Drosophila melanogaster: one gene and its partners. The gene in region 3 interacts genetically with the main gene of each other region. Each region holds a gene or a part of one and is shown on either strand. Other genes may lie near its edges.

Region 1 (9,477 bases), on a different chromosome or scaffold from region 3:
TTACCAGCCCATGCCGGGTATAACAGATACGCCGGCAATTAAGCCCGCTGTTGGTAAGTAAACAAATATCCTAATTTTCATTGGCACACGGTCTAATCAAATAACCACCATTCCACATTCCAGTTTCCAGTGGAGTTATTTCGACAGTGGTTCCGGACTCGCCTCACAAAATCTTCATCGGAGGTCTACCAAACTATCTGAATGACGATCAGGTTGGTTCAACATTGAAACGTTTCCATTCGAATTCTCATAAACATTTGTATCTTCTGCTGCTGTAGGTTAAGGAACTGCTTTTGTCGTTTGGCAAGCTACGAGCCTTCAACCTGGTTAAGGATGCCGCTACTGGGTTGAGTAAGGGTTATGCTTTCTGTGAATATGTCGATCTTAGCATCACAGATCAGGTACGAAACTACTTCAAAATTGCAAACAAACACAATCTTAACTCTAACTCTCTTTCGATTCCTAATAAAATTTGTAGTCGATTGCTGGCCTAAATGGAATGCAGCTGGGTGACAAAAAACTGATTGTCCAACGAGCCAGTGTGGGCGCCAAGAATGCCCAGAACGCGGCCAACACCACGCAGTCCGTAATGCTCCAAGTGCCGGGCCTGTCCAATGTGGTGACCTCTGGACCGCCGACTGAGGTTCTTTGCTTGCTCAACATGGTCACGCCCGATGAACTGCGGGACGAGGAGGAGTACGAGGACATCTTGGAGGACATCAAGGAGGAGTGCACGAAATACGGAGTCGTGCGGAGCGTGGAAATTCCACGTCCCATCGAGGGCGTCGAAGTTCCCGGTTGCGGCAAGGTCTTTGTCGAATTCAACTCGGTTCTCGACTGTCAGAAGGCGCAGCAAGCACTTACTGGACGTAAATTCAGCGACCGCGTTGTGGTCACATCATATTTCGATCCCGACAAATACCACAGACGCGAGTTTTAGATACAAGTAAATCATATATCTCACATTCACCATTTGTCCAATAAATATCAGAATAAAAGTAAAATTTTGACTACGAAAATACGAAGATACCATGAAATAGAAAGGGATAGTCGCTTATTTCATTGTGAGCCGGAAGTTGGAAACGAAAACTCCAAATGCTTCTAATGGGTTGAAACTGTACGTGAGTTTAAGGGTATATAACATAACTACTTCATTCGGTGGCTTCCTCAATTCTCAGAAATCCAACATATAGAAACAACTTTGTATATATATAGACAGCTAACGCCGGATAAACATTTATTTGGCATTAAATAATTATGAATGTATACGTATGGTGTGTGTTTACTGAATTATAAGGCAATTACAAAAACAGTTGAAAATATCTATTAGACGTACAGATACAAATCACTTAAAAACGGAACGTACAAATGAAATACATTTTGGGTACATATACACATACATATATACTAAGCATGATTTGCTAATGCGCTCAAACGCGCAAAATGTCCAAATTAGAACTATTGTGCGAATGGAAACAGCAGAATGTTTGTTAAATAATTAAATGCGAGTGCAAGACAAATGATATCGATCGTTTCAGTGGGGCATTCGTATGGAATGCAAATAGTTTCAGATTAAAATCCTAAATGATTCGCATAGGGAGCACAATTTCCACTTCTTAAATCGACTAGTGCATTTTATGAATATCTAGATATATAAATTATATAATGCATTTAGTAATAATACGTCTATTGAACTTAGGCTTTAGATATTTAGATTTCGCAGTTTAGAGAAGAAGCTAAGTTAGAACTTTGATTTTATAAAAAATAGATATCTTTGAGCTATATTATTATTTTTCAAATATTTGTTATTTTAGCAACAGGTGTACTTCAATAGTTAACGTTCAAACATTTAAAATTTCGATCATTTCGAATTTTAAGGCACGTTCATTTAAATGTAATTGAATAATTACATTTTATTTTAATATTGTTTGCAAACTTTTAGTTTTTGTAACATTAGCTACAACAATCGTGGTTAAATAACATAGACACAATTATGTGGTATATCGTAATTGTTAAACAACTGGAAGACATATGTAATCAAAGTGGTTTAAATTTCCTTTGCCCTTTTTTTTTTATAAATTGTATTATTACTTTAAGCTTTAAAAGAGAAAATAAAAAAGGTAAATGCTAAATGATTGAAATGCTGTTTGAGTATTTGTGCTAAGAGAAAGGTCTAAAATAGTTTTCCAGATAACATATGAAAGTGGTCTATTTTCTTCAGTTAAAAGTCTTTAAGAAGATTGTAATATAATACTTATGAAAAGCTGATCCTGAAACTGAATATCAAATGCCCATTAAATTGATGCCAATTGAGCTGTTTATGAATTGTTTCTATTTCTAATTTTGGAATCAACTTAATGTACTTAACTTTTGATGGTAAAACTGGTAAAATGGAAATAGCTCAAGTTCCCTAAATCGAAATCAAATCAAATCTGGTTTGCTTATGCTTATAATGAGGTGACGAATAGTTAAAACATATTCGTATCATTCTATTCTCCTGAATCAATCTCACGCACAAATACAACATTTAGAGGACAACAGACTTGAATGCTTAGTGTTATGGAAAAGTGTACAAATTATACGGATTACATAAACTTGATTTCAGTTCCAGGAGTTCAGAATTCATTGTTACCATTTGAATACTCATTGTATAGTATGAACTAACCATAACTGCTGATGTGTATAGAAAGTAATCTAAATCTAAATCATACGTTTCAGATCCTAAGCTTTTTAGACAAATTACAAGTGAGAGAATCAGGTTCATAGTTCGATGAAATGTTCTTATGTACAAGTTGTTGATAAATTGCTTTTGCGAATTAAGTTCGCTTTCCTTTTGATCTAGCGCAATTGTTTTCGCAAACACTCGATTTGGAATCATTGATATTGATCCAGCTAACTCAGCAATCCTCTTACGGTGCGGTAACATTTGCTATCTTAATGTTGATCAGCAGGGACGATAATTCCAGCTCCTCGCTGAACTTATTTCGTAGGATGACGCTGCGATAGCCCTGGCGAATGCAGGTCAGCGGATAGCACGCCTGGGCGATGAAGTGCGTCTCGGCGAACATATCCTCGTCCTGCACTTCGAAGCGAAGGATCGCAAACTGTGGATTACGCACGTTAAACTCGCACGATTCATTCCACACCGGATTGAAACCATTTTCATTGACTTTGGTGCGATACTTAACGCCCGTATCAAAGCTAGCGCCAATCAATTCGACCACGATCTGCGGATTGTTCGATTTGCCGCCCCGGAATAGATGACGTGCGGCTATCAGACGTATGCTAACTTTAACTTCGCTTAGGCCATCGCACAGCGGATTGTTCGGATTGAAGCTGTCAGATTTCATGAACGATGGCTTTAAGATATAGCCACATTGTCCATTATTCCGAAACTTGGCCTGATTCAGCTGCATGGCCTTATCGCCTGTCTGATAGTTCAGTGCGATCATCTGGGATCCAACATTCCAGAATGGCATGGGATTAAAATTCGACGAGTCCAGGCGCTGACCCTTCGGATACACTCGGCTAATCTGATTGCGATGGTAGGAGAGAAACAGTTGTGTGTTCTGCTGGAAGAACTGCTTTTCGGCCTTCGTTTCGGGGAAACTCGACATTTCCTGAAATATCCACGAGTGCTCGCGGAACGGCACGCTGCGGAAGTAGATAATCAGATCGGACATCTCCTTGGCCACCCGGGCAGTGCGCTCCTTTTTCCGCCTCTCCGATGCCAGCTGACTGGCGATAAGGGCTGCCTCCTGGATTGCCTTTATCCACTCGTACGCCGTCTCCTGATTGTCGAAGCCAATCACAAACGGATTCTGCATCGTTGGCGTTTGTATCTGCAGCTTGAAAATAATCCCCGGATCGTTGGACTCAAAGAGCGAGGCAACAGCTCCGAAAATCTCAATGGAATCGGTGCGTCCATCCGTGCCCTCTTCGTTCAGCGAATTGTAGTCCTCGGTAGTTGAATCGATAACCTAGACATTGGAATTTTCAAGAGTTGAATATAGTTGAATTTCAAATAAATCTATATATGCATCTCACCTTAACGTAGTTTGCCGGCAGATGCTTCTTGATCATGCCACCATAATCTCCAATCCACCACATCGAGTTGTCCCTCTGGACATTCGTTATGATGGCATGCTTGGGAAAAGAGAGTTCGTCTGGCTTGTTCGCCTTATAGCTGTAGAGCGCCTTGCACGTGACATTCTCCTCCAGATTGGAGCCCATGTAGTTGGAGGCACCGTTGTCATCGTGACCGCCACTATGATCACCCTGTGCCGCCTCCGCTAGCGCCTGACGCAGCAGCTCCTGCGACACCGGATGGCTGAGCTTAACATTGCGATAGAGTGGATTTCGGGTATAATAGTTGATCAGCGAGACCAGAGACTCGAAGTTCATTGTATCGATGCCGTACAAGCGTCCCTCCTGCATAATGCGACAGTGCTTGATCTTTCGATTGATTGTGAACGAAATGACAAAAGCGTTAATGCTCTGCACCGATGGCCGCACTAGAAACGAACCAATTTCCAGCCGGTATAGACCCTGTTCGGCCTGCTCCTTGGTGGTGTTCGGATGGAACCACTCCTGATCCTCGTGCTTTTTCGGCTGCGGAACTGGCTCTTTCAGTATAATCGAAAACTCTGAGCTACGCAGCATATTCTTGCGATAATAAACGATCAGTGAGTACAGTGAATCGAATACAAAATTCTCCACTAGATAGTACTTGATCGATCCATTTTCATGCTTTAACTTGATGCGGCAATGATTCGGGCGATTACGTCGCCAGAACGAAAGGCTATAGTCTCCCACAAACGTGGCCGATTCCCGAACCAAAAATGTACCATCGCCAAAGTGTTTGTACTTCTTTAGTAGATCATCAGCCTCCTTTCTGCCACCTAAAATGCAAATTGTTAACGAAACAAATGGAATATACTGCATATATGTCAACCAATAAACGCACCTTCAAGTTTCCCATGGAACCAATTCTCGCCGAAGTGCAGCTCATCGTTGGCCGAGGTATCCTTTTGCTTTTGCTGCATATTGCTGTTTAGGGAGCACGACGAAGAAAGCCCAAAGTCATCATCCTCGGAGTTTCCGTTGCGTGACTCGTTGATCTCAGAGGAGTAGATTAGCTCCTGATGGGTCAGAACGAACTGATAAAGATTCCAGGACTTATCGACCGGATCCTTGAAGTAGAGCAGTCCCTCCTTGAACACCTTGCGCACATTCTCGCCATCGTTCTCCCCATGCGCTCCACCGCCCGCTCCGCCCAACGATGATCTATGGCCCAGTGAACCCGTGCTAGAAATCCCATTCGCGATGTCGTCAAACTGCGGCAACTTCTTGTGCTTCAGGATTATCTTGCGACGCAACTGGTATGGCGATGGCAAGTGCTGCTCGTTTCGATCACAAGGTTGCGTAAGCAGCATATCCCCGAAAACCTGTAATGGGTCATAAAAGGTATAAGTCAATGGATTTTTATGCGATTAATACTTAAAGCATCAAGAAATATCTAATTACCATCGTCTTGAAATCTAAGTAACTAAAAATATTGCTCTGTTACATTTATAATTAGATTCAAACGAATAAAAAGCGAATTCTTCATATTGTCATACATATTCCCAACTATCGAAATATACAAAATCCATTTCAATTATATATTAAGTTAGGCAATCTCACAGAAAGCCATAAAAGAACTCATTATTACAGCGAATGAATCAAAAAGCAAACATGCAGATCTCCTGTTTGCATGGAATATATAAATTGTTGTTATTAATAGATTCGATTAGGTCAACTTACCTCGATCAAGGCCTGCGCCATATTCCGCTGCTGTTCCAGGGAGCAATTCTGCTCTATGGACAATATTACCGGATACTCGGAACTGGTGAACGCATGATCCTTAATCGTCTTGATGACATCCATGAACTTGATCTTGGAGGTAATGGTGTGGCCGTGAAATATGTAGGGCAGATTGTCGGGCCCGTTCCAACAATCCAACTCGATGCAACGGCAGCCCATGCGAAGAGCGCGGGCGTAGGCCTCGCAGGAGGATTCACTGGAGAACTGATCGCCCGTCAGGTAGGTATTGTGCGACGATGCGATCCAGTAGGAGGACAACGGCAGGTTCATGTCCATGAACACTTGGTCGTACTTGCTGTTCCACAGGTCGTTTTGCTTGGAGAACAGAAAGTCGACGAACTCCGGGAAGGTGAGATACGGCTCCTGAACATCACGTTCCACGTCCTGAACAAAGTCCCGAATGAAGGAGGCAATGGCTGCGCTACTGATCTCACTGGCGCTCACATCGCGCTGTTCCGTCTCGAGGAACTGCTTCAGCTCCGCCGGTCGCACCACCTGTTGGTCCTCCGAATAGGGAAAGTTGGCCACTCCCGATCCGGACAAGACGCTGGCAAATCCGTTGGGCAGCAGCAACTTCTGATATAGCCGCGAGAAATCATCAAACTTGAGATCGTGCTTGCGCCGCACATCCTCGGTAAAGTGCTCCATGAACTTGCCGGTGGTCATCTTACAGCTAACTCCGGCCAAAAAGAGCTTAAAGTCCTTAATGGTCACCTGGGCTGGCGACTGTTCCGTGGCCTTGGCGGAATGCGTGTTAACATTCTCGATTTGATAGTACTCGCGACGCAGCCAGCGATCAATTTGCAAGGGATAGGGTGCTCCCAGTGTGTCCTTAACCATGTAACGCAATCCCCGCACCCAATTGTCGGCCTCGATCTCCGACAGAGCCACCACCGAGAAGCTCTTCAGCTTGAAGTGATTGCCGTGCAGTATGACAAAGCACTTGCTGGACTCGAAGCGCTGACAGTCGTCGGCAAACAGGCGAAACTCCTTCGAGTGCTTGCCCACCCGTATCTCGCGAATCTCCCGCAGCTGTATGGCGCCCTCGTAGTCGGTGCGTGGCGTTTGTGTGGCCACCGTTGCCCAGAGCAGCTGTCGTGTCTCTCGTATGAGCATCAGGTGGCGGCGATCCGGACGACGCTGTTTCCCATACAACTTGGTCACGATGGTGCCGCGCTCCAGCATACCAATGGTCTGCTCCATCTCGCCCAGCAGCGGGGCACTCATCGCACTAAAGCAGCTCATCCTGTCCGGTCCAAACGTGTCGATTCCTATCGAATCCAGTTCTCATCCGCTGGCTGCCACAGGTTGTTTCTCGCCTCGCCAACCGATCGCCAGACTAAGTGCAATGCATACAAACTATGGGTGCCAGCGCGTGGAACTATTCGCAGATCAACTGCTCCCTCTCTTCCAACTGGTCGATGCACAAATCACGGCCACTGGGACTCAATAAACCGAGATTAACAATGCAATATCCGAATTGTACCCAAAAAATACCACAGAAGCAGATAAGATAAGCCAGCTGTTGAGGAAAGTGCCAGTGTTGCCAGGCCGTAATGTGGGTACAGAAAATACTAAATCCACGCAAATGGGGCGTTCACACTGCGGTGTATTTCGAATTGTGAGGAAATAAAAAAATAAATTGACTATTTTATTTAAAAGTTTAGCTTAAAAATTGCTCCATTGTTTACATACTTGAATAACTGAAATATTAAAGTGTGACCAGTTTTATCTTTTGTTTTGAAGTGCGATTCAAAAATTCGTTATGTAAATAGTATTCCTAGTTTTGAATAAAGCAAAACTAAGCATACCAACCAAATCGAAGAAGCTTAAAGCTTTTATTATAACTCACCTTATGTAGATAGGAAAATAAATCCCGACCTGAAGAATTCCTAACTAACTAACTTGAAACCAAACGAACATAAGTTTTCTTGATATTGTATTTAAAATAGATTTACAAATTAATAAGCTTAGGCAATTGACTGATTGTTGTTGTCTGCTTTTCTACCTGTTCACACATGAACACGAATATATTTAAAGACTTACAATTTTGGGCTCCGTTCATATCTTATGTAAATGAATCGAGAGCGATAAATTATATTTAGGATTTTGTTATCTAAGGCGACATGGGTGCATTGCTCAAAAACATGTAATTTAAGTGCACACTACATGAGTCAGTCACTTGAGATCGTTCCCCGCCTCCTAAAATAGTCCCTTAGTGGGAGACCACAGATAAGGTCCTCGCCGCTCAAGATAGGCAGATGTGCCCGAGCGTGGGACCTCGATAAGGCGGGGACTATTTACTTAGGCCTCTGCGTAGGCCATTTACTTTAAGATGCGATTCTCATGTCACCTATTTAAACCGAAGATATTTCCAAATAAAATCAGTTTCTTACAAAAACTCAACGAGTAAAGTCTTCTTATTTGGGATTTTACATTTGGTCAATCGAGCCTTTAATCGACTCTGCAGTTTCCCCCTACCAAAGGTAAGGAACTCAGAGAAAGGCCAGCTCCTTTAAGCATCTTACAGCTAAAGGTAGCAAAAATAAGTGACTCTTGTTTCCCCCTACCAAAGGTAAGGAACAGAGTATAAATATAAAAAGCAAAAGATACAAAAGAATCTTTTATGTTTTAAAACAAGCACCTTATAGTCTATAGCTAAAGGTTGCTTTGTGTACCATTATAAATTGTGGTAAGGCGTGCTTGAGGCCATACATCAGCAATTGTGAAATTAAAAAGTGCATAACAAAAGTGCCTTATAAATGCTCTAATAGCATTAAATCAGCTCATAAATAGAGTGCAGTGTATATGCCATAAGAGCATAAATTAAATAAAAAGTGCCTGAAAACAGTGCCTTATAAATGCTCTAATAGCATTAAATCAGCTCATAAATAGAGTGCAGTGTATATGCCAAAAGAGCATAAATGCCGAAATAAATGGCTAAAAAACAAAAAATCTGACTGGACTACAAAAATAATAAAACGTGCAAAAAAAAAAAAAATCATCTTTAAACATCGACGGAGCCTTAAAGAAGAGAAGGAAGTCAAATTCAAAGGAGCCTCTACCAGCAGCAGAAGCAGCAACAACAGCAGCAGCAGAAGCAGCAACAGCAGTAGCAACAGCAGCAACAACAGCAGCAACAGCAGCAGCAACAACAACGACATCAGCTAAGTCAAAACAAGAATTTTCTGTTTATCCAAACACACATATATATATAAATACATATAAAATACATATACACGTACTATATATATTAAGAAATTACAAAAAATTTTCAAAATGATGTCAGAAAAGACTATTCAATTCCTTAAGAAGCAGTCCGAAATTATTTTGGAAATTAGAAAGTTGGAAGTAAAACCAACATTAACAGATGTAGAAATTCTAAAATTAAATGAGCTTCAAAAATGTTTCATTGCTAATCATAGCAATTTGTTAAAGATCGGCGTTGTCGATCATGAATATTTTAACGCGAAGCAGTATGATTTAATAATGATGGTGTTAGAAAAAATTAAAAATAAAAATGAAAAAATTAAGGGCGAGTCGGTAGAAAACACTTTCCCTAAATCAAACACTGTCCCTAAATCAAACCCTCCCCCTACATTAAACCTTGAA
Region 2 (7,755 bases), on a different chromosome or scaffold from region 3:
AGCGATGCCGGCAATTATATGGCGGAGCAGAGCTACTGGCAACAGCACCAGCAACATCACCACCAACAGCAGCAGCAGCAGCAGCATCAACAACAACAGCAGCAGCAACATCAACAGCAGCAACATCAGCAGCAGCAGCAACACCAACAACAGCAACACCAACAGCAGCAACAGCAACAGAAGCAGCTCCAGCAGCAGCAGCAGCAGCATCAATGGAGCGCCAACAACGGCAGCAGCAACCAAAGGAGCAACAATTATGCCAACAACTATGCGGCGGCAGCCGCTGCCTCCATGTACATGCAACACTTCAATCCCTACATGCAACAGAAGGCGGCGCTGCTGGCGGAGAAGGCTGCCCAAGCGGCGGCGGCGGCTGCAGCGGTCCAGAGCAGTAACGGTAGCAATAAGCACGGACGCTTCGGCGGTGACTACGGCTAGGAGTCGTCCGGTGGGTTCACGGTTCAGCTAACCGAAGCGCAAGACACTTTAGCGCATAAACATAAACATATAGGCATATGTAACACTTGCGTGTAATAATAACTATATATTTAGAGGCATCGTATAGGCCGTTTTACCGCCAGGAATTGGTAAAGGATAAACCATGATTTTCCTTTAGTTTAATACACAGGAACAGCAACAACAAGGTAACCGGAACGCAAACAACAATAATTTATAAACAACAAACAAGGTGGTAAACACAAGCAGAGAGCAGTAAACATAAAAAAAAACTTAAATTGAATTAGTAAAAATTTGTTATTGGTAGTTTGTTAACAAAAAAGAAAAACACAAAAAATATGAAAAGAAAACAAAGAGGAAAAAACAAAAAAAAAACACGACAAGTAAACAAAAAATAATGTAGAGCGCGAAAGCGGAAGGCAAAAGCAAAAAAAAACCTAATTATTGTATTATTGTTAACCAAAATCTATTATTATTATTATTATCTCAAGCTGCGTTATATTATTATTATTATTATTAACTCGTGTGTCTGTATATAGCGTTTTTATCTAGATGTATTACACTTAGTGATCCCCCCACAACCCGATTCCCATCCCTGGAAACCCACATCCGACTATCCTCCAAAAATGCCAGGACAATCCTTGGACCCTTCACCTTCACCTATGACCTCGCCAAAAATCAAACGAAAACAAAGCGCAGCGCTAAAAGGCAAACAACCGATTTTGTATCCATTCCGAAATGTGTTTCTTTTTGTTTTTACTAGTTATTACGCTGATTATTTATGAAATCATCATCCCTAACATGTGCAATCTAACACTTATGTTCTAGATACAAAAAAAAAAAACAAAAAAACCAAACAAACACAAGAATCACAAAACTTATTAACGCGAAAATGGCAAAGCAAAAGCATGAACATGAAAATGGAAAAATAAAGAGAACCCTTTTAGAGAATTTCGCTGATAAAGGCAACAGAATAGCAAATCGCCACCGAGACTTTTAATTCAGCGGGTTTGGTTGGATCATCCAAATATGATGATTATGATGCAGATGATGCACTTGCACAAGTGGTTCTGTATAAATATAGTTATATTTGCATCTCAAGTTCAGTGTATAATAGGCATATAAAAGTTAATTTCTGTATAAATACGCAACTTTTCACTTACAAACAACATTATGTAATATTTTTTCTGTTTAACATTTAGTTAGAACCACGCTTAAAGTAAGAGTTCCTTTCGAAGGCATTTGAAATGCGCGCGTGCGAATGTTTTCAGCTATGTATCTCTGTGTGGAAGTGTGTGCCCGGTGCGGTTTCTTTGTGCTCCCAGCCGTCGATCTCTTCAGCGATGAGTCGTCGTCGCCATGGGCCAAGGGCCAATCTACTCAATCTGACGGCTGGCCTCCTGCAGGCGCGCCACCACGCCCTGGTAAAACTTAATCTGTTCGGCAATGAAATTCTTAAGCGTATGCTTCAAATGCGTATCCCGCTCGCTCTTGAAGTGGGTCAGCTCGGCCAGCACCGTGTAGGAGACGACATCTGTGCGCCGGTTAACGTCGTGCAACTGGGGATTATTCATCCTGCCCTCGCCGGCCAATTTCTCGCAGTCCTTTCGCTTCTGTATGGCACCCTTGTGCGTGGAGAAGATGTCCGGAAAGCAGTTGAGAACGCCCCTATTTGGAAAAGTGAAAGTAAGAATTAGATAATGCTTCTAGATCGTTCTATAAACAAATAGCGACGGAAAGTTACCACATTCTCTAGAAGTTATATATATATTATACATATGTATATCTATGTATATATTTCTTGTTAAACTAAAGGTCAGTCAGCGTAAGAACCACAATAATCTAAAATAAACTATTGGCCAACAATCGATTTTTCTCGCGAAACTATACATTGATTCATTGCTTAAAAGTAAACAATTTGAGTTCTTTATAAATAAACTTGATACCTTAAAAACAATTTACAAGAAAGTAATCTATCGAAAATTTTTAATTGTGAGTAATTCAGCCATATATGTATGTGCCTATTGTAACTTCTAGTATAGAAATGACACATGTCGTGGAATTCCCATTTTCAGTCAGCTAATCAATTACTGATGAATGAAACGAAATGTGCTATGCTTCCCATCACTTATAGAGACGTCAACCCACCTGTAGATGTGAAGTCGATCCGAGAGGGGAATCCAATCATGCTTTGGCTGGTCGCCAAAGGCCTGTCCAATACCGATAAAGATGCCACCGATGCGGCCGACGCTCTCGGAGAGCGGAACCGCGTTTCGGGTGGGCGCACGCCGCTCATCGATGGCCAATGCCTTGGCCAGGTCGGAGAGTCCGTCGCCAATGCGCTGGAACTCCTTTTTACTCTGCGACATGGAGCGCTTGGCCATGTCGTTGGATATATTGTTCAGGTTGCGTACTGCCACGTCCATGCTGTGTATGAACTGGGTGCCCAGCTCCACCTGTGCGTCCACCTTAGAGTGCAGCAGGTTCTTGTCCGGCGGCGAGATGGCCAGGCAGTAGTTGACGCCCATGTAGGGATCCCGTTCCGCCTTGCGTTTGCCCGACTTCCAGATCTTCTCGTCGCGGCAAGTGAGGAAATGGTACCAGACCTCGCATTTGGAGATCACCGGATGGCGGCACACCCAGTCGACGAACTCCTGCAGCTGCACACGTCGATGCTCCACGAATTGCTCCTCATAGCGGCCGGAGATCTGCTTGTCCGGCAGCGGTGGCACCGGAATCAGGCAAAACTTGTCCACCAAACGTTCGTGCAGCCAGTCGAAGTGCTTGTAGCGACGTGACACCTAACGAAAGGGAAACCCAGATTAGATATGACCAATTAATTGTGATTGGGTCACGCAAAGAGGAGCCCGGAGCTCGGGGGGTCAGAGCTCGTTGCTGAGTCATTCCCCGTGGCGGTTCGCAAGCACAAGCAATCATCGCAGTGCCGCTGGCTACCAGTTGGTCAGAATTGCCCCCACAAAGAAGAATTTTAAGTGCTTTTACGACTCTGTAATGCTCTACCTATTTGTATGTGTATTTTAATGGACTGAAAGAACTTTACAAAGAGCTTTGATTTCAGTTCGAAAGTAATGTCGAGCATTTATGCTTCTCATTATTGTAATGAATAAAGTTGATCGAAATTATCAAAATACTATTTAAGTAGCTAATAAGAAATGAACTATAGCTTTGAATAGTATTAAAACTTTAACAAATAAAAAGATAAATTTAGCCAATTTTCAGAGTCTTAATAAAACAAACCAATTAAAGAAATGGATATGATCTCCATTTAAATTTTCTCAGCAAAAAAGGGTCACTTTTAAGGTCAACTCAGTTGGAAAATGTTGGCCGGCAATTAGTGCGGAGTTTCGATAAACAAAGGATTGGTCTTTCTTTATTCCATTCCATCTGCTCGTGAGCACATGAACCAGCCCAAATTACCCTTGGCAGAGGGTAGCGAACACAGCACAGACACATATTATCAACAAAATATTGCACCCGTAGTTACACACTCATGCGCCAACGGTCGGAGCTTTATCGTATTGTGTTGTTAATCACGGCGATATCAGGGTTGGCCAACTTACGGATATGTTGTTGAAGCTAGGCGTCAGTTGGTAGGCAATGAACGTCTTCATCCCCTTGAATTTGGACTCCTTTTTGGGACTGGCCACCACAACGGAGTAGGGCGAATGGTTCTGCGTCCACTGGTAGATCGAGTCCTCCACCTGTGTAATGTAGGCCATCTCGCATTCGGGTATCTTCTCCTTGGTGCTGGACAAGCCGAGTATATATGAATCGGAACTTTTGGCGAACATGCCCTTTTTGACGGTGCCAGCAGCACCAGTCCCACCAGCCACGGAGGCCAGTGATTGGGTATCATCGTTGGGCGCGATGGGCAGGTGTTTGTTATCGTAGTCACTGGTGGAATGCGACAATCCGCCAGCGCGAGCCGACTGTCCCGCAGACTTCTGGCCACCTGGACCAATTTCCGAGTACGTGTCATTGTCGTCGCTCCAATCGTCCTCATCATCCCAGTTGCTGCCATCATCATCCGCCGTCTGATCGTAACGCGGCAAAGGGGGCGAGGCGAAGGGATCCGGAACCTGTGGCACCGACGTCGCTCCACTGGCGCTCAGCTTCTGGGCTTCGGCCGCCGACATCACCTCCACGTACGCAGCCGGGAAGAGGCCAATCTGGCCACGGGCATTCTTGCCCTCCCACCAGCCTTCACCCACATCGCTCCGGGTCACCGAGAGCACGTCGCCAGTCGCGATGGAGAGCTCCGAGGAGCCCGGCTCCCCGGTAAAGTCGTACATGGCACGCACGTACGAGGTCATCTTGGTGCTCTCCTGGTCGTTCCTTTACGCTAATTCGAGTCCTGTCTTCACAGGGGCCATAAACAGACAAGAAATATCTACTAATTCTGAATCACCAAGTGTGAAGTGTTACCGTTTCTTGGATTACGGAATTAAACTGACACTGACGTCTTCTTCGCTCTGCAGCAACAAGATATAATGATGATACAGCAATTTTATTAGGGGTATTCCCCCAACACACCTGAATTCTACACTTGGAACAGAGGCACTCTCTAATTTGATAAATAATTATAAAAACTTCATATTTATACTGTACTACTACTATATACTCACTAAAATAAAATAATATAAATGGTACATTTAAGTCGATCAAATTAAATTAATGAGTTATTGCGTTATCAAGAAAGATTTAGCTGTGAAAAATTACTTATGTTTATATAGATTTAACCTACAAATATTTCAAATAAATTGCTAGGTGGGTATACAATTTTATAGTAATAAATCAAGTAAAATATAAGGACAAATTTATGATCATAATTTTATATTGCACCAAATGCGAGGCGTTTCAACTACATTACGGTCTCCCCCTACTGATAAGCGCCGAGTGCCAGGGCTGCAGAGCACGGCTCAGCTGTCGATGTATCGGGATGCATCGAAGTATCGAGTTGGCATAAAAGAATCTGGTCTTCGTGTCGTGTTATTCATTCCTTAATTGCGCCTTGCTTTAATTTGTGGGTGAGCGAAATCGGAGCTCGGCGACATCGCCAGTTGTGCAATACTGACTCCAGCGGTATCTGTTAATCCCCAACCACTTCGCAAACGTATTTTCTTTGCCTTGCAGATTTGCTGACTTTGTCGTTCGAGTACTCAGCGTTTAACGACCACAATGAATCGGCAGGCGAAATTCCTAATCTTGTGCCTCTTTGTGGGCCTCTTCTCCGCGAATTTGTGCGAAGAAGGTGAGTCTTTGATCAAATTACACCGAATTAAAATCGAATTGAAGACACGCCGAACACTCATTTCTCAATTATGCACTCGGACACACACACACACACGCTTGCATGTGCATGCGTACGTGTGCGCAAACCCCTCGCGTGTGTGCGCCGTGCGGGCATGTGGGTGTGTGTGTGCATGAATGTGCGTGTGTGTGGATGTGGGGGTTTTTTAAATGCCAATTCCTATATTGAATATCAATTCTCCGGCCATTTTCTCTTACTCCGACTTTGGGGGAATGTTCTCCGCATAAGAACTGCAAATCTACAGCTTTCCAAAAGAAACTTGGAATTTACGAAAGTCCGTAAATTGTCACATTACCATACGTTAATATTTGTGGACATTTGGTAAATATGTATTTACCGAGCTGTAACCATATTTTGTTCGCAAGCATTTATTTAAATCGTCACGTCCTAATTACCATACGAAAATATTTGTACATATTTTAGGATTTAAAGAGATTTTGACCATATTTTGTTGACAAACAATTTAATGTTTACTTTTTCAGCTTTCTTAAATTTCCATTCCTTAAATTCCATTATTGCATACAAATAAATATCACCTAAATGCTGCCTATTTTGAATATAGTAATCTTTATTTTCCGAACCAAATCAATTTGTTTTGTTACGTTTTTCTATTTTGTTTGACAATTTTGACATCATTTACATGTGCAATGGAACTATTTTTATTTTCAATTCTTACAAAACATGTGTATTCGTTGTGCTTTTTGAAATATTGGAAATCGATCAATAAGAGTCGTTGTGAACTTATCATGCTTACCAATTTATTTGCTTTTAACTTTGGAGTGACGCATAAGTTTTTATCTATAATATTCGTTGCTGATTACTGCACACAAGCCCTGTTTTTTTGAAGCTATGATAGGCGCTGTTCTTACTTAAAATTATTTTTTTACGATGTATTCATTCTGAAATAAGAAATATGAACGTATCAAAAAGGGTTGATTAAAAAAAACCACACATTGGGTTCATTACTATAATATTTACTACACTTGAGTCTATCTGATGTGAAATAGTTTTACGAACTTATCATAAGCTAATATTTATAAACTCTTTTTATTTGCCTTAGCAGTGACCACACCGGCTCCAGCGGACACCACCACCCAGGAATCCAAGAACACCACCACTCCGCCGGACACCACCACTACTGTGACGCCACCGTCGACCTCAACCACGAGCACCACAACTGAAAAGACCACGACGACGCCACCAATTACCACATCGACTGAGAAGACCACAACTTCCACTACTCCAGCCAGCACCACCAGCAGCACCACTCCGGCCAGCACCACCAGCAGCACCACTCCGGCAACGACCACCACCACGCCTGGAACTACATCTACGACCACTCCGTCTCCGAACTCGACCACAACTACGCCGCCGCCACACACATCAACCACTCCGGCGCCGAAGCCCGTGCCGTGCGGTCATTTCGATGGATCCTCGTTCATTGGCGGCATTGTGCTGACTCTGGGCCTGCTCGCTATCGGCTTAGTGGCCTACAAGTTCTACAAGGCCCGCAACGAGCGCAACTACCACACCCTTTGAGCCGCCACCGCCTTTACGTCGGCCTTCAATGCGGCAGCCGGAGCTGCGGCGGCCAGCAGCAGTGCCGCATCCACGGATGCGGAGCGCGTGCGGTTTGTCCAGCCTTCGATACCGCTAAGGTCGCCGCCAACGCAGCCGCCACCACCACCACCCACCCACATGGGTGGCAGTGGTGGTGGTGCGGCTGCAGCTCCACAAAACTGCTCGCCGTCGGCCCGAGATCGGTTGCTGCACACGTAATTTAAAAGCGGGGAGCCACACCATATTACCCAATATAATTAATATCCAAAGAGATGCCCCTATACCCCGATTCCCCAACAAAACACACACACACACACAGAGATACAAACGGCAGTCAAGTAAAGTCAGTTCTTAAATTGAAACGATAACCCCCTGAGCGGATTTAATACGGGCCCAGATAGTAGGAG
Region 3 (6,506 bases):
CGGCTGGTACAGCGAAAACAAGTTGACTCACTGCAAATACGTTGCATTTCGCAATGGCAAAACAAATGGCAGCTACACGGCTTGCGTAATTAATACCAATTTGGGCATGATCCAAAACGCACAGCTTGTTCAGTGCAATAATAACAATAAAGAAGGAGAGATCCCAATCACCTTGGTGATCGGTCATGTACATGCATACATATTTGTAACTTGTATTTGAGAACTAGTCGCTTAAATAAATTAGTAGAAAAATTTAATACTATTGCACCAGAAAACTATAATTTTGTTTTAAAACCAATTGAAAATTAATTCTATGGAAGGTATAAAACGAATGAATTGAAACACATATTTCGTTCAATTATCATACTAATTATGTCGAATCGTCTCCATTCCTGGTCCCATTAATAAATACAAAAACAACAACATCGCAGTGCGTGCATGCATGTGTGGGCGTGGCAGCGGAGGGAGTGTGGAGCGATTAGAAGACGCGCGTCTAAGTTCAAGGCCAAGCAGTTCACAGCATAAGCAGTGAAGGCAGCAGCAACAACAAAGGAGAAAAAGCAGCAGCGGCAGCAGGGCAAGAGTGCGAAAGGGGCAGAGGGTGGAGAGGGAAAAGAAGCAAACGCAGCTGAAAAAAGTGCACACAAAATTGTTTGGCTGTGTGAATGTGTGTGTGTGTGTGCTGTTTCGCAGCGAAAAAGGTCAATGACACCTGTCTGTTTGTCTCGCTCGGCTCACACACACACACATACAGGCTTATCACCGGCCACTCTCTTTCGGCAATCGTGCCCTCTCTTTCTGGCCTGCGCGCAGCTACGTTTAGACATGTGGTCAGAGCATTTTTTTTGTTTTTTCTCGCTTTAAAAGGCATTCGTGTTGGTGGCGGCATGTGTGTTTTTGTTGTTCGTTTCGGCACTGTTAATTAGTGTGGCCAAATTATGCGCCAAAGCCGCCAACAACTCGATGGTCATACGTCATCAACAATAGCCGGACAAACAATTTCCGGTTTTTAGCCACACCATTAAAAAGCCAATATCAGAAATAACATGCACAAAAATAAAATAATAAAAATACAGAGAAACAAAAGCAGGCGCAACAACAACAAACTTGGCCCGGGTTCCGTCATTGCCTCATCCTCTATAGATCTCTTCTGTTCTTCTGCTTTATTTTGGTTCTATTTCAGCAATTTGTTATTGCGGCGACTTATTTTTGTCGCAGCACGCACACACACTCGCACTTATGCTCGCACACACACACACACACACACAAATGCACAGAGAGCAGGCAGGCAAACTCGATTTAAAAATAAATAAATTACGCACAAATACAAATACATTGGCCAACATTCTTCGGGCCTCGTCAAAAATATAGCATGATTAATACAAAAATGCGCAATTCTCTGGTGTTTTTTTTTTCTACTTCGGTTTTGCCTGTTGTTTTAACCCAACCTCCCAATTTTTTATGGCATTTCTCTCTTATTATACAATAATAACGCGAATATAATAAGAGCACAGCAAGTGGGCAGTTCAACGGCAACGCAAATAGCAACAACAAGCGCAGCGGCACGCCAATTAGTGCTTATGCTTTTTAATTAGCAAGCGGACCCATCCCCACATTTCCCCATTTTCCACCTTCCCGCCCACAAAACCACTTACCCGTAATATCTCCACGCCAGTTATTTGGGAAATATCTTCCCATTTATCACTATTTCAGTACACCCACAGACCCCCGATCTATTGATCTGCTTCCGTTGCGGATACAACACAAAATCAAAAGCCCGTAAATCGTGGGTGTATCTTTATCTCGTTCTTTTAAAGGGATATCCCACTTTTAATGTCAACTTAAGTCATTAAAGTCTCAACCTGCTTAAGTTGGCATTAAATAATTAATGTTTATAAAATGAAAACATTGTAGAAGCTCCAAACGTTTTTACAAAGTCTCCATTAAACTAAATTTAATGGATATCTTATACATATACCTTAAAGATAAAAAGAAACCCGATTTATAAGGTCACAGTTTGAGCAAATAGTTTGATCAACTTTTTGGGATTTGTTTTAGCAAGTGAGAGCTTTAAAATTGTACTGGATATATTTGGCTGGTTTACTCAGCATTTTGGTCACTCTAATTACGAGCTCCAAAATAAAATAAAAAACAGCACTGTCATGACTTTTTGACAACCGCTGAAAGTGTGGTGTCCACCATACATTAAAAAACAACACATTTTCCAAAGTATAACTTTAGAATTATAAAGGTTTGAAAATCATGACAAGTCAACAGGTGAGTTCAATTTTATTTTTGAAATATTAAATAAAAAATTGAGTTTTGCAGGTGGTCCTGAAGAGGGGGTGAGAGCAACATACATATTAAAGCGCCTTTTAAGGAAAAATGTATGGGTGTTTAATGGAAGTCGACTAAGACACTTCTTTGAAGTTTATTGTTTTGTTTTTTTTAATAATTTATACTAATTCTATAAATATTTAATAAAATTCTATTGAATAGCTCTTATTGACGCTTGTATGATTAATTTTAAAACTTACCAAGGACAATAAGGAGACAGTCTTTAGCAATAGTACTAAGTAATTTCATGAAATACTATTTTTAATAATAATGTTAGTTACTCTTTTAGTGCTGGCTTAATTTAATGCAATGGAAAACTTATCTGTACCACTTTTCAAAATGCGTGCAACAATAAAAAATAAACCAGCACAACAACAACAACAATAATAAAACAAAAACCGGCAGCAATCGAAATTCTTTCATTTCTTTTCCGCCTCTCTTCGCGCAGCCGCTCTCCGCACGACAGAGAGACAGAGAGAGAGAGAAAAAGAGAACAATGTTGGCTGCGCCGCTCATTCACAAAACGGAGACGTAAAGCGGTGTGCGAAGAAGAAGAACAACAACAGCCCAAGATATGATAGATATGGAACAACAACAAAAGGAACAAGAGGAACCGGGCGGAGAGAGGAGGAGGAGGAGAGCAAAAACAACTTGGCATAAATTGCTGCTGCGTAGTAATTTCACGAGTATTTTCCTAGTTACGTTCTCACTACTATTATTCATTTTATTATTATTTGTTGTTTTTGTTACATACCCCTTTGCAACGGTTTTGTTGTCGTGCATTGTTGATCTAGTTGTTGTTGTGTCACCTAATTTTTGATTTTTATTTCTATTTGTATTTTATTTTGGTATCGATTTCAAAATAGAACGACGCACTTTCCCAGACGCAGGCGTAATTAAATTTTCTTATGTTTTATTCGCGTGCTTTCTTTTTGCGCCGCAACTTCACAACATGCTGTGTATATATAAATAATAGGAGAGCGCGCGTGTGTGTGTGTATGTGTGTGTACACAAATTTTATTTATTTATTTACCGTGAATTTTACTCACACACCCGGACAAGCCGCACTCTCGCCAGCACACGAGAATCGCCCGCACTTGTATTTCGTGGAATTTCTTTAATTCGAACTCCACCGACCTCGCACTATTGCTCTGTATTTTGTATTTTCGCACTTTTCATTCACGAAATGCTGGGGCACATAATTTCGCCTTGCACAGTATTAGGTATCGGCAATTCACTGTGGCCTCTATTTGACAGCGATGATTTTCCGCACGACGAACACACTCACAATTCCAATTCACGGCGACCGCGGCAACGATCTCAACGTTTCGAAATCGCGTGAAACACTGCCAGCCGTTACCCTTGTTGTATACGCGATTTTCGGTTTAGCGCGTTTTCCAACTCTGTTCGGTCGTTTTCGAACTCTGTCTTTTGACCGCTTACAGAACTCTGTTAGTGCCGGCTGTTACACTAGCGCGCCACCTATAGCAGAGCTCTTCGTTTACCAACACGCCATGAAGCCCAATACTGAATCCTCGCGCACTAAAAACGGATATTCCATTTGTAAAAACTTTTATATGAGCATAATGTCATTAGCAAATATTACATTCTGGATCACTTTTTTTTCGAAAAATTTAGAAAATATAATAAAATAATGGCGCTATTATTGTGTCGATTTCTTAATGACATAGGAAATATTTTTATGTAATCATTGTCCAAGAGCATCTACTTTCCATGCAATCAAGCATAATCATTTCCTTGAACTCCCCGCCTAGGTGATAAATACTAACTAACTACAAATACTAGGAGCTGCTGTAAAACCAATTTAAACCAATTTTAAATATTTCGCTAGGATCTGCTTTTTGGGGTTTGGCTTTTAGAAACGCAAGTTTCAAGTTTAAAGATAGTGCGCCATACTTGAATATCGTAAATTGCAAGCAGTGCTACGTTTTACTGCTTTCCGAGTTGGCGGGCGCATTAAAATGCACTGCTTTCCCAGTTGGCGGGCGTTTTAAAACATGCAGACAAGTCTGCTAACTACTCATGGGTAAAATGATCAAAATCCAAGGAATGGATCACATATTTAAAATTCAACTTGGTGTTTAAAAAAATCTTTGAAAAGATGCATAAAACAGTACAGTCTTTATACTTTATTAAAAATAATTAATATAAAAAATAATATTTACCAAAAACATTCAAATGATGATTCAAAATTGCTTAGTTAAAAAAGAAGTTAGCAAAAAACACTTCTTGTGACCATGGCAAACTTCACCTTATTTAAATTCGGCTTGAAAAACTTAAATATTCAGTTTAATTGAAACAGTAGACATTCGGTTTTAAAAATTTATTTTGTTTATTTTAAAGTTTCCTTCGTTTTTGTAATATTTATTTTCTCTTTTTTTCATGTGTTTGTTTTTGGAAAGAAAGAAAAGTACCTAACAAGTGTGTTTTCTCTTATAAAAATTAAACGTACAATTATACAGTGGTTTCGGCTTGTTGCGGTTCTCCTTCGTTTATTTATTGATTTTTTTTTACAATTGTATGATTTGCATTTGTTTGTTGCTTTTATCTATCGTTTAGTTAAATATATAACTACTAGGAGAGAGTTTAAATAATTATTTATGTACTTGTAGTTGACTCTGTTAAGTGGTTGGTTGTTTGTTTTGTGGGATGATTTGGCTTCTATGAATAAACTGCTATTGGGCCCATGTGTGTGTTTACAGTTTAAATTTTATAACAATAACAAATTATGATACATAGTTATAGCTTTAATAATATTATAATTAAAAATCAATCGATAAATCCAAGCAAATGAAGAGAAGAGGATTCTGTTGCATGCGTCACTAAAACAGGAACCAAAGCCATCTTGTTGGGGGCCCAGGAGTGTTCTCTTCCTCTTCTACTACTGCTCCATATTAATTTGAAATGTCTTCGATATATTTTACAATTTGAAATTGATTTTCTTTTTATTGTTTAATGTTGATTGGCTTTACAACTATTTTGTTTTATAATTTAAAATTATATAAGTGTGTGTGTGTGTGTGTGTGTTGGTATTATTTTTACTAATTTACAGACAGTTCTAGCCCAAAAAGTTGTTTGATAAGAGGGAAGTATTCGCATTTTTTGTGTGTTATCCAATCGTTTAAATAGTATTCCTGATTCTTTTTGCTTTCTTTTAAAGGCTAAAATTAAAATTTGCTTATAAAATGTGGCTCTTCTTGCTACGACTTCTCCCTATTTCTCTCGTGAGGCTGAGTTTTTGTAAAGTAGATTTTGTGTTTTCGTTTTGTTTCGCTTAAATTAGTTTGGGTTATAAATTTAAATGTATATATTTTTACGCTTAAAATTGTACACACAACTTAGTTTCATTAAGTTTTGCTGATTCGCTTTTTTTTGTGTTTTGTTTTTGGATTTTTTGTGGCTTCTAGTATTTGCAATCAAATAATTTAATAATTTGCTGGCTGGCTTTGTATCTTTTTTTTTCTTTTGCCATTTGTATATAATTTAAAATTATAAACACCCCCAGAATCCCAATTTTGTAGACATGTGTGTGTGTGTGTGTGTGTGGTTGTGATTGTGTTCGTGGACGTCTCCTCTTAGGGTCCATAGGCATCCGAACCGAAGTCAAACAGCCGATCGATGCCCTCGTTCGCGTTCAGCGCATACGGATAGTCATTGTCGTCCGGCGGATTGATGGACACAAAGGCGATATCGTTGCTGAAGTCTGTAAATAAGAATGCAACACATTACTGAATATTCCGGCATTACTAAATGTTCTGCAGTTCGGGGCTGGGCTGGCTGCATATGATTTTACATTGGGTTATTTGACGATTTCATCTGGACAACCATAAAATAGGAGAGAGAGAGAGAGAGAGCTGAGAGCTGATAGAGCGAGAGATGTTGTGGATGCATGTTTGAAATTCACGCCAGAGCTGAATCTCATGGTGCTACAGAATTTCAATTTCAAAATGAACAATTTGCCCTGGAGCGGTCAGTGTTGTCAGTGCAGACCCACGAGAATTCAGTTCCAAAATGAATTTGACACGAGGACGATTGCTGACGAGGCGGCGGGTTTTATGTCGATATATATACATATATACATTTATGCACAATTATTTAATATTATTAGTATATGGTTACCGTTTCGTTGTTAGCACAGTGTGAAAGTA
Region 4 (8,924 bases), on a different chromosome or scaffold from region 3:
GAGGGCCACTTTAAGGCCAGTAATCCAGAAATGTAAACATAAGATTTTACACATACATATGTATTTTCAACGAAATGGACTGTAAAATAAGTAGGTTTAAGAATTTAATAAAACGAATGATATCGAAAACCCGAAGAGTGTTGAGATGTTTTGGGAAAGAACCAATTGATTTTCGATTAAATTACCTTTTTTGTAACTTTATTAAGTGAGATTTGTTCGTAATAACCATATGGTATTTAAATGTTTTGTTGTGCCAATCGGAAAATTCTTTTATCCAGTAGCAATGCCCAGGGCAACGCCACCGAAAAATGATGCCAAAAATATGTGCAGATCGTTGACTTTTGGACCCTCTTCATCGCCAATCAGTTTGGTGTACCATTTCGCCACTTTCTTGCCGTTTCGGGTTAGGAGGCTTTCAGCTCTGTCTAATTGATTGTCGACATATCTTTCGGTCTGCAAATTGAGTTCAGCATAAATATAGTAAGCATATAGATAAACGGTTTAAATGAATTATACCTTATCCTTCCAGTTCTTCTCACGACCCAGCGAGGCTTCCACTTTATCGGCGAGCTTATCCACGCTCTTATCCAACTTAGACCAATTTATTTTTATAAGTCCTTCTTGGTGGGCGATTTCGAGCAAGATTATGCTGCCGCCAACTGCAAAGGCAGCAAATTTGCCTATTTTCATTGTCGTATATCCTGTGACCCTGAAAAAATTGTTATATTTTTAGTAAGATAAGATACACAAATTCCAGCAAATTCTATGGATTTCCTTAAATTTGCAACTCATCATTTGGCGCATATACATGTATAGTAAATTGCCGAGTTATCTAGCTTATCTTGTGCAAATTATATCAGTTTTATCTGATTAATAACTCATTTTATTACACTATTTAGTTCTTTTCCTTTTTAGGGAGGTCCTATATTTCTGTATCCCGCAAACAAACAACATTCATTTATACACGTATTTAGAAGTACATATTTGCAATAGATGGAGCGGCTAAGCATTCAGTTGTATATTTTAATTAAAAACGTATTCTGCAGTTATCTACCAGCTATTACCGAAAGTATGCAAAAAATCAATTTACTTCAAATTCCAAAGACAATCGGCATTGCTAAAAATTTAAGTGATGCGCCGCAATGATATAACCACATACCATCCTGATGAAACGCCAATAAGCATCTGCGAATATGCTGAACGTTGGCCAATATCGTTAAAAACTTTCTTAAAAATTTCCGAATAATTAGTCATTTTTAAAATTAGATGTCGACGTTAAGATGCGAAATTCTGACCGCCCAGTTTACGTCAATTTAACACAATAATATATGCCCGTCAAGATAGCGTCAATTTGGACAACATTTTTGTGTTGGGTTTATTGGAACTCGGAAGTGGAACATATGTTAGGGGAATTATGGGAAAAAGAGTAAGAAAAATAACTGGTAGCACTTAACGTAGAAACTGGAATAATCATACTTTGAATATTTATTATTAATCTGATAATTACCTTTGTGAATCCTGTATGCTTTGCACAACAATTGGCAAATTTCAAGAACCTCTTATTATTTATTTATCTTAGCTATTGCCTCATTTGAAACTATTAGTTAAATTCCAATAAAATATGAGATATCCATTTAATCGCTGCACTTTTCGTGTCGAAAACTAGTTTCGAGATCAAAACTATAAATTTAAGTATTTTTTTCTAAACGTCAATTATTTCTCCCCCCTTACTTTAGACAAAAACCCAAAGTTCGAATGAAATCTACAATACAAAATGTACATGAGTTTATTTAAAATAATTGTTAAAACTACTTAAATAAATATCATACAGTATATTTACAAATTCGAATAGATTAGCCAATTACTTAGCAATTTTAATTACTTTGCTAAATCACCAAGAATTATAAGTCCGTAATAAGCATTGATTACAGGTATGTTGATTCACCTGGAAATAAAGAAAAATATTCATTTATTAGTTTAGATTTTTTTGCTCAAACAAGCTTAATGAATTTATTAACTAAAACTCAACGAGAATACGATAAAAATCAAAATAGCATGAATGAATTAAAAGCAGAAGACTTTTGATGATGATGAAACACACAAAAGACACATTCTGCTTCAGGATATTTAGTTTTCAACAGCAACAGTGAAATAGTCGAATTAGTCGAAGTTCGACAGTTCGGTGCTAGTTTTGTTAAATGAATTGAGTAGAAGGACAATGGCAGTGCCCAGAGTCACATACTTATGAAGCGGTGAGGGATGTGTGATGAAAATCGATGCGGATACTGATTAAGGATTGCCGGTTAGTTGACCATTCGAGCCGCAGGCATGGGCTCCCACTCACTCACCTATGTACATTAAATTCTAAACAGATGTGCAGAGCGCAGCTGTAATCGATCGTTTCCCCGTGAAAGGAAGTGGATCTGTGTAAGCCTGTCTCTGCTAGTATACTCGTAAAAGTCTTGGGGACATATAAATCCAGTTCTGGTGGCTTCGTTTTATACATCAAAATTAAGAGATCGTTCAGCCAGAAGTCTTTTAAATCGTCTCGGGTGATTATTCTGGCGAATTCAATAAGTCAATAAGAATATAAATGTGTGGACGATAGCATATGTCGATAAAGGCTATCTCTTTTAACAAATCTTAATTTGAATACTCATACAATACAATTAATTACAAAATCAAACCGATAATGGTCCAGAAATCAATTGAATCGAAACTCTTAGTATTAAATAAATGTGAAATTAGAACAATTGTTCGGTATTACTCGATTAAAACGGATAGATTTTTAGTGAGATCTGGTCATTGAGAGTATAGTGTGCAGCAAACTCACCGGATTCCCAATCTTCCTCGCCATCTTCGGTACCACAGTTGAATTTTGGAGAGGATTGTTTACATGTGATGTATGAATTGTAATTGATGTTCTTATTTTCGTTTATACTTCGAGTGTCAGAGGTGATATGAACTTCACTATTCTGCCATTTGATTAAATCAGTTTTCTTAATGGACGGTTGATTAAATATATGATTTCGTTTTATTTCCTCTTTTGTGGAATCATTCAAGCTTGGTAAAAGAGTTTTGCTATTAGGCTGTTTGCGTTTGCACGCAGTCGAAGTATTTTTTGAATTGGTTGATGTGTCGTATTGAATTTTAGTCTACGAATATTAGATTTATAGATTAAGCATATTGATCGGCGCAAAACGTGTTTTCACTTACAACTATATCCTTATGATCCAACGTTTCTATTGTTTGACTTTTCGTTGTATTATCATTGACGATCGCAGTTAAGACTTTTTTTTCGGCATAGCAGTTTGGAGACAAACTGTCATAGTCTGATCTTTCGAAATTTAAAACATTTTCGTTTCTCTCTTTTTCGGACGCTTCAGCTTGAACATCATTGCTAAAATTCTCTGCCTCAAAAACGATTGAAATCTGAAAAGAGAGCAAGCACATTTATTTGGTAATTTCGCAGCATCTATTAAAATGCTTCGAAATATCCTACCTTGAATTCTTCTGAAAATCTTTTATGTTCACTGTCTTTATGTACATCATCGATTTCTGATTTGCTTAAAGTGTGTATATATTTGTTAACTGTTCCATCGGACTCGCAAGCTAAAGAGAATGTTTAATTAAATCGTTTATTTAATGCATGTGCGATATTAAGTATACTTACGTGAATAGTTTCGTACAAAAAACGTATTTAGCCAAAAGTGACAAATGATTTTATCTGGGGATTTTTTTGTGAGTTCAAATTTTACATCGCCGGAAACTGGTATTGATGGTTTAATGGTCAAAACAAATGATTTTTGAAAATCAATCGGCAAGGTTTTCAGTCTCTGCAATTATAAAAAAAAGAAGAATGTTACTGCTGGTTAGAAAGGTATTCGAAAAGGAACACTTTACTGCACTGAAATCGTGTGAAATATACATTTTTAAAATGCTGTCTATAGTCTATCAATGATGTATCTATATACTTTATATACTTACATCTGGCTTTGCATTTTCTGTGGCTGAGTCGTGTAATACAGATATTGAACATTCTACCATGCCTAAGTTTTGCACACAACTGGACTCCGAGAAGCGTATTTCACATACCTGAGATACAAAAAATGCATATTTAGATTTTGTACGGCGCTGAATGTGGCGCTGCTGCTGGAAATACTCACGTTAAGGCTTACTTTCGAATATGGAACACTTGAACAAACTAGTTTGGAAAAATACTGAACATATCGACGCTGAGATGGGATTGTCACACCTTTTCGGTCCTTTGTACGCTTCTCATCATACCACGCTAATGCCTCGTCGGCGGATTTTTTAATTCCACTGAACACTAAATATGCGCAGATCATGGTACCTGAAATGAAAAAAAACTGGGTTAGTTTTTTAGCCCTACAAATATCGAAACAAGATCATAGTGTGCCATGATATTTATGAACTTTCGCACAAAATGTTGAACACATTTCCTACCGGTTCTGCCCTTTCCAGCTTTACAGTGCACGGCTACAACATTGGACGAATCTTCCTTGAGCCACATATCAACATCACTGCAAAATCGTTGTATTAACTCAATCGTTGGAGGGTTATGATCATCGAACGGATAAACAGCTACTCTCTGTAATGCGAAATAGTATATTTTACATATTTTACGCCGACAAATAGAAAAAGTTCAACAAAATTACCCCGCGAAATTTAGCAACGTCGTAACTACGCTCCGAGCATAGGTTATAGATTTTGTAATGCTGGGCATGATTCTCTTCCAATAGCTTAAAGACATCTTCCAGACGGTTTCTGAATAGGCCCTCTAGTTTATCCGGTGCTGGATAGCCCATGGCAATTATGTTATCATTAATGTCTGTGGGTAAATAGATAATTTAATTTAATATTCCAATGATTGCGGTTGATTCAATAACTTACATGTTAAATCCAAATCGTATCCTTTTTCTTTGTATCGTATACGTTTTTTACTCACTACATTGCGTATCACGTTGGACATTAACGAAATAGTGTTGGCCATATTTTTAAGGTTTAAAGACTTGTCTTTTTTATTTAAATTAGATTAGCTGCATCCATTCAAATGTATTTGGGAACCAGTGCTTGTCTTCTATTTACTCCATTGCAAAGTGTACGTTCTGAAAGGAATGTAAAGCATATTAATTAATATGCATATGATTCTAACTAATCTGTTTATTTTCCACAGCAAGTTAGAAAAGTATTGACTCAATTCAGCTTAGTTTTCTACTGCGAATTCAAACCTAAATCCTTTAACAGCAGACAAGTTTCTAATATGGTCAATAGAAACTGCTTAATTATACTGTGCCAAGGCATTCTAAAGGGATATATGGAACTAATATAATGGGCTTGTTTTCTCCCGATCCACTTAGGTTGTTCTATATAAACTAATACTTCTTACTCGGCTAAGATATATTCCTGTTTGCAGTTCTTGCTTGGATACATATTTAAGCACGTACATACACATACAGACAGAGGTGCACTCTCTATAGGAATAGTTCCCTACTTGTTTTCCCAGGAACAGGTAAAGAGTTAACTTCAGTTCGGTTTATATATCCACAAATATCCTTAGCACAAACATGCACACACTCACACACACTCGCACATGCACACGCACATATGTACATACACACACACACACACACAGGCAGGCATTTGCGGCACACACGTGAAACATACTTACATGTATCGGCATATTATCAAAGATAAACAATATAACAATCTTCCGCTTGGCATAATACATTCAGATTGGTTGTCAAATGGTCCTGGTTTTAATTGTAACTGGCTAACAGAACAGAGTTCTTTTATTGAAGCCCAACGCACGGCGATTTCGATACGAATTCGAGCAATTAAATGGGTTCGTTGGCTGAGGGGGCGATTTTCGAGGGGTGAAAATCAAAATCAAAATCCGTTTTAGAAACACCGAGCAGTAATTTCGAATTACTTAACATAGCGACTGATTTGGCAACTGTTTTTTGTTTTATCTCGCCGAGTAGACACACTTTTTTGACAAACTGTTTGCGAATGGTGGTATGTATTGTAGTTAGAGCACATATGCATGTACAGAAATATGCAGATATGGATGATGGGCATGTGCACATATATGCACCGATTTTTGTGCATTTATGTACATATTTGTTTAAACAAAAACATATTTACAATTCCACAGACATTTTACACATTTACACTATCAGCACCACACGAATATATGTGCCCACTGTTTAATACATATGTATGTATGTGCATATGGGTATGTTTAAGTCAATAAGCTAAATGTTCCAACCGAGCAGGTTCTGGCTACTGCATTTCAAAAAGCTATCACATGTTTTGCTCTAAGCCACGAAATTTCAAATAAAACTTTTCAATTATGTGTAAAAGTTAAACAGTAGCGCTCATGCTCTATTAAATGTATTATTAATTTATCAAGCGTGAGATCCACAGGGTGTTTACGGCGAGCGATACCACCACAAGATTTGAGAAAATGTACATCCAGTGCTATCGACGTGCGTGGTGCCCTCTCGATTAAATTGTGTATGCAAAAACTATCGATGGGTCATCGATACAACCATTTATTTTTTAGCACTGCGGTTTTAAACAATATGTAATTATCTATGCATTTATTTTAATCTTATTAAACAACACACATATAACTTCATGCTACCAAAAACATGACTACCAACACATCTTTTACTCGAGTTCTACCCACGAAACTAATATTGCTACAGCTATTAAAAATTCCATTTCTTGCAAAACCAATATTATTTTTGGTATGCAATTTTTTAAAACGCAAACATTTTTAAGATTTACGAATACCTTTTATTTATTTTTTTTTCCAGCCATTGAAATGCTATTGAAAACTATCAGTTTGGGTAATACCATTAATGTAATCCTCTCTTTTTTTATTTACAATCGATAAAAGTGCAACAGGTTTTTTATGGGTATTCGATTATTTTGACATAAATATGATTGGAATTTAAAGTTCCTTTATTCAAAAGCAAAACCTGCTATCTGAATAATTTAAAATTTTAAAAAATTTTCAAAACTTTAAAAATTACACTCGTATCTTAAGGCTAGTTGGTTTCCGCAAAATGAATTCTTGGTACCACTTAATTCTCAACTGTTGACTTTAATTCGTAACTTGAATAAATCAAAATAGGCCAATCATCAGTAAATGTTATTGAAGCAAAAAGGACTCGAAGACGAAGAAATAAAAACAAGTGTTTTGCCGTGTTAACCAATTTCTCATTTATTTGTCTCGCTTTTTATTTGTTTAAAAAGTTTCTGCAGTCCATCGTTTAAATATTTAATAGCCCCTTGGGCTAACTAACTAATCGTCGTTATCATAAGTATTGCTTAGCTATGTTTTGAACTTTAAGCAATCTAATAAATCTGAAAGTGACGTTAAGAGATACTCCAACAAATGACCTGTTAATTTAGTTAAATGAAATAAAACATAAACATTAAAACCGATGCGCTTAATATAGTTGCTTGCAGCATTGGCTAGATTTTTGCCGTTTCGACCCAACTACAATAAGTTATAGATTTGTATAGTATTTGTCTTAATAGGTAAAAAGTTAGATCGATGGATAGTACACATGCAATATTTCTTACCAAAACGTAAAGTCAATGATTTGTTTGTAAACACTTGGCGGTTATTGCTTTTTAGGTTTTCGAGATTCAGAAAACAAAGCAGATTTTCGAAAACGCTTTCTTACCAGTTTCGGACTGCTGACTGCTTCATTTCGTAGGGTTTATTACGATGGTTATAAGAGGTTCTGTAAAAATGAACACCTACACAATTCCGAGTTCTCAAAATTCTTTAATGTTTTAGACCAATTATTTTGCGAAAGCTTTTATGTATACGAGAAACTGTTCCGCATTTCCTTTATTAAAATTGCGTACTTCTAGATTTTGGTTTGACGTTGTTCGAGTCTTAGCGTATTTTTCTTACTAGTTTTCTACGTTATAACTTAAATTTTACGTGCTTGCAATTGTCATGTTAATGGGTATTCGTTAAATAAATAATGAAGAGACGACGACTATCAGTTTTTTGTTTTTTCTTTTTTTTTTATCATTCTGTTGTTGTTGTTGATGTGGGGGAATGAGGGAATCTGTTGGACGATCGAAAACGATCGAATGCTACGATTTTAAATGTTTGAGTCTGCGTTTTACGGTCGCGCTTAAGTTATTATTTATTAATCTTTACTCATAGGCAATCCTTAAGCAACTATGAGTGGTGTTGTCATTAGAATCGATGGTTTCCCACCGGCGAGCGGGACCTGAAGCGTCCGGCCGACTGACCACCAGTGCGTCCGTAGCTGGCGCTACTTCCGCTGCTGTAGCGGCTGCTGTCGCGTCCACCGCCGTAAACCTCGCGGCGATTGAAGCCGCTGCCGCCGCCCTCTCTGCCATTATAGCTGCTTGCACCTGATCGGCCGGAGCTATAGCCCCGCTCCGTGTGCCGGCTTGAGGATCCGCTGGATCCGCGCTGCCGGAAACCGCCTCCGCCGCTACCACCGCTTGTGATGCTGTGCCGGCCAAAGTCGCCGCGTCGTCCGCCCCTGTCCATGGGTCCGCCACGCCTACCCTGGCGTGGCCGCCCTTTTGAGATCTCCACGCGCAGCTGGGAGCCGAGCAGCTCGGATCCGTTCAGTATGTCGCACGCCTTTTCGGCGTCGTCGCGGTGCTCGAACTCGACGAACGCAAATCCCGGCGGATTGAAGGCTATCCACACCGAATTCAGCTTGCCATACTTTGTGAACTCCCCCTCCAGATCATCCTTTTTCACTTTGTCGGTCAGATTGCCGACATACACCCGTGTCCCGCGCTGATCACCCATGCTGGACATCTGGATTCACTGTTTCTGATTCGTTTTCGGAGTTATCCTGCAAATCGGATAGCTGCCTTGAAAAATA

The links.
Region 1: of InR (region 3) and sl, changing one enhances a phenotype caused by changing the other (phenotypic enhancement), as found in Drosophila melanogaster (one study listed by BioGRID).
Region 2: of InR (region 3) and SH3PX1, changing one suppresses a phenotype caused by changing the other (phenotypic suppression), as found in Drosophila melanogaster (one study listed by BioGRID).
Region 4: of InR (region 3) and Pten, changing one suppresses a phenotype caused by changing the other (phenotypic suppression), as found in Drosophila melanogaster (3 studies listed by BioGRID).

The regions. Positions count from the first base shown.
Region 1 is NC_004354.4:16,348,219-16,357,695, reverse strand, and holds sl (small wing), read right to left. Parts: upstream 7,382-9,477; 5' UTR 7,111-7,381; coding exon 5,806-7,110; intron 5,448-5,805; coding exon 4,967-5,447; intron 4,902-4,966; coding exon 4,048-4,901; intron 3,981-4,047; coding exon 2,910-3,980; 3' UTR 1,214-2,909; downstream 1-1,213. Other genes in the region: U2af50 (U2 small nuclear riboprotein auxiliary factor 50), read left to right, coding at 1-53, 124-212, 279-401, 479-940.
Region 2 is NT_037436.4:9,708,896-9,716,650, forward strand, and holds SH3PX1 (SH3 and PX domain containing 1), read right to left. Parts: upstream 4,933-7,755; 5' UTR 4,791-4,932; coding exon 4,038-4,790; intron 3,258-4,037; coding exon 2,605-3,257; intron 2,125-2,604; coding exon 1,833-2,124; 3' UTR 1,527-1,832; downstream 1-1,526. Other genes in the region: vsg (visgun), read left to right, coding at 5,656-5,728, 6,849-7,327.
Region 3 is NT_033777.3:21,615,636-21,622,141, forward strand, and holds the start of InR (Insulin-like receptor), read right to left. Parts: upstream 3,687-6,506; 5' UTR 3,387-3,686; exon of another isoform or gene 3,092-3,386; intron 106-3,091; exon of another isoform or gene 1-105. Other genes in the region: E2f1 (E2F transcription factor 1), read right to left, coding at 5,934-6,061. UniProt on the Drosophila melanogaster protein: Has a ligand-stimulated tyrosine-protein kinase activity. Binds 3 insulin-like peptide ligands.
Region 4 is NT_033779.5:10,254,562-10,263,485, forward strand, and holds Pten (phosphatase and tensin homolog), read right to left. Parts: upstream 6,489-8,924; 5' UTR 6,293-6,488; exon of another isoform or gene 6,024-6,292; 5' UTR 5,693-6,023; intron 5,427-5,692; exon of another isoform or gene 5,130-5,426; 5' UTR 5,015-5,129; coding exon 4,915-5,014; intron 4,853-4,914; coding exon 4,680-4,852; intron 4,613-4,679; coding exon 4,468-4,612; intron 4,355-4,467; coding exon 4,167-4,354; intron 4,096-4,166; coding exon 3,988-4,095; intron 3,837-3,987; coding exon 3,674-3,836; intron 3,613-3,673; coding exon 3,503-3,612; intron 3,433-3,502; coding exon 3,217-3,432; intron 3,156-3,216; coding exon 2,834-3,155; intron 2,562-2,833; coding exon of another isoform or gene 2,557-2,561; exon of another isoform or gene 2,349-2,556; intron 1,946-2,348; coding exon 1,926-1,945; coding exon of another isoform or gene 1,892-1,925; 3' UTR 1,758-1,891; downstream 1-1,757. Other genes in the region: Ror, read left to right, coding at 1-36; CG5676 (uncharacterized protein), read right to left, coding at 271-453, 517-709, 1,160-1,254; Rsf1 (repressor splicing factor 1), read right to left, coding at 8,255-8,857.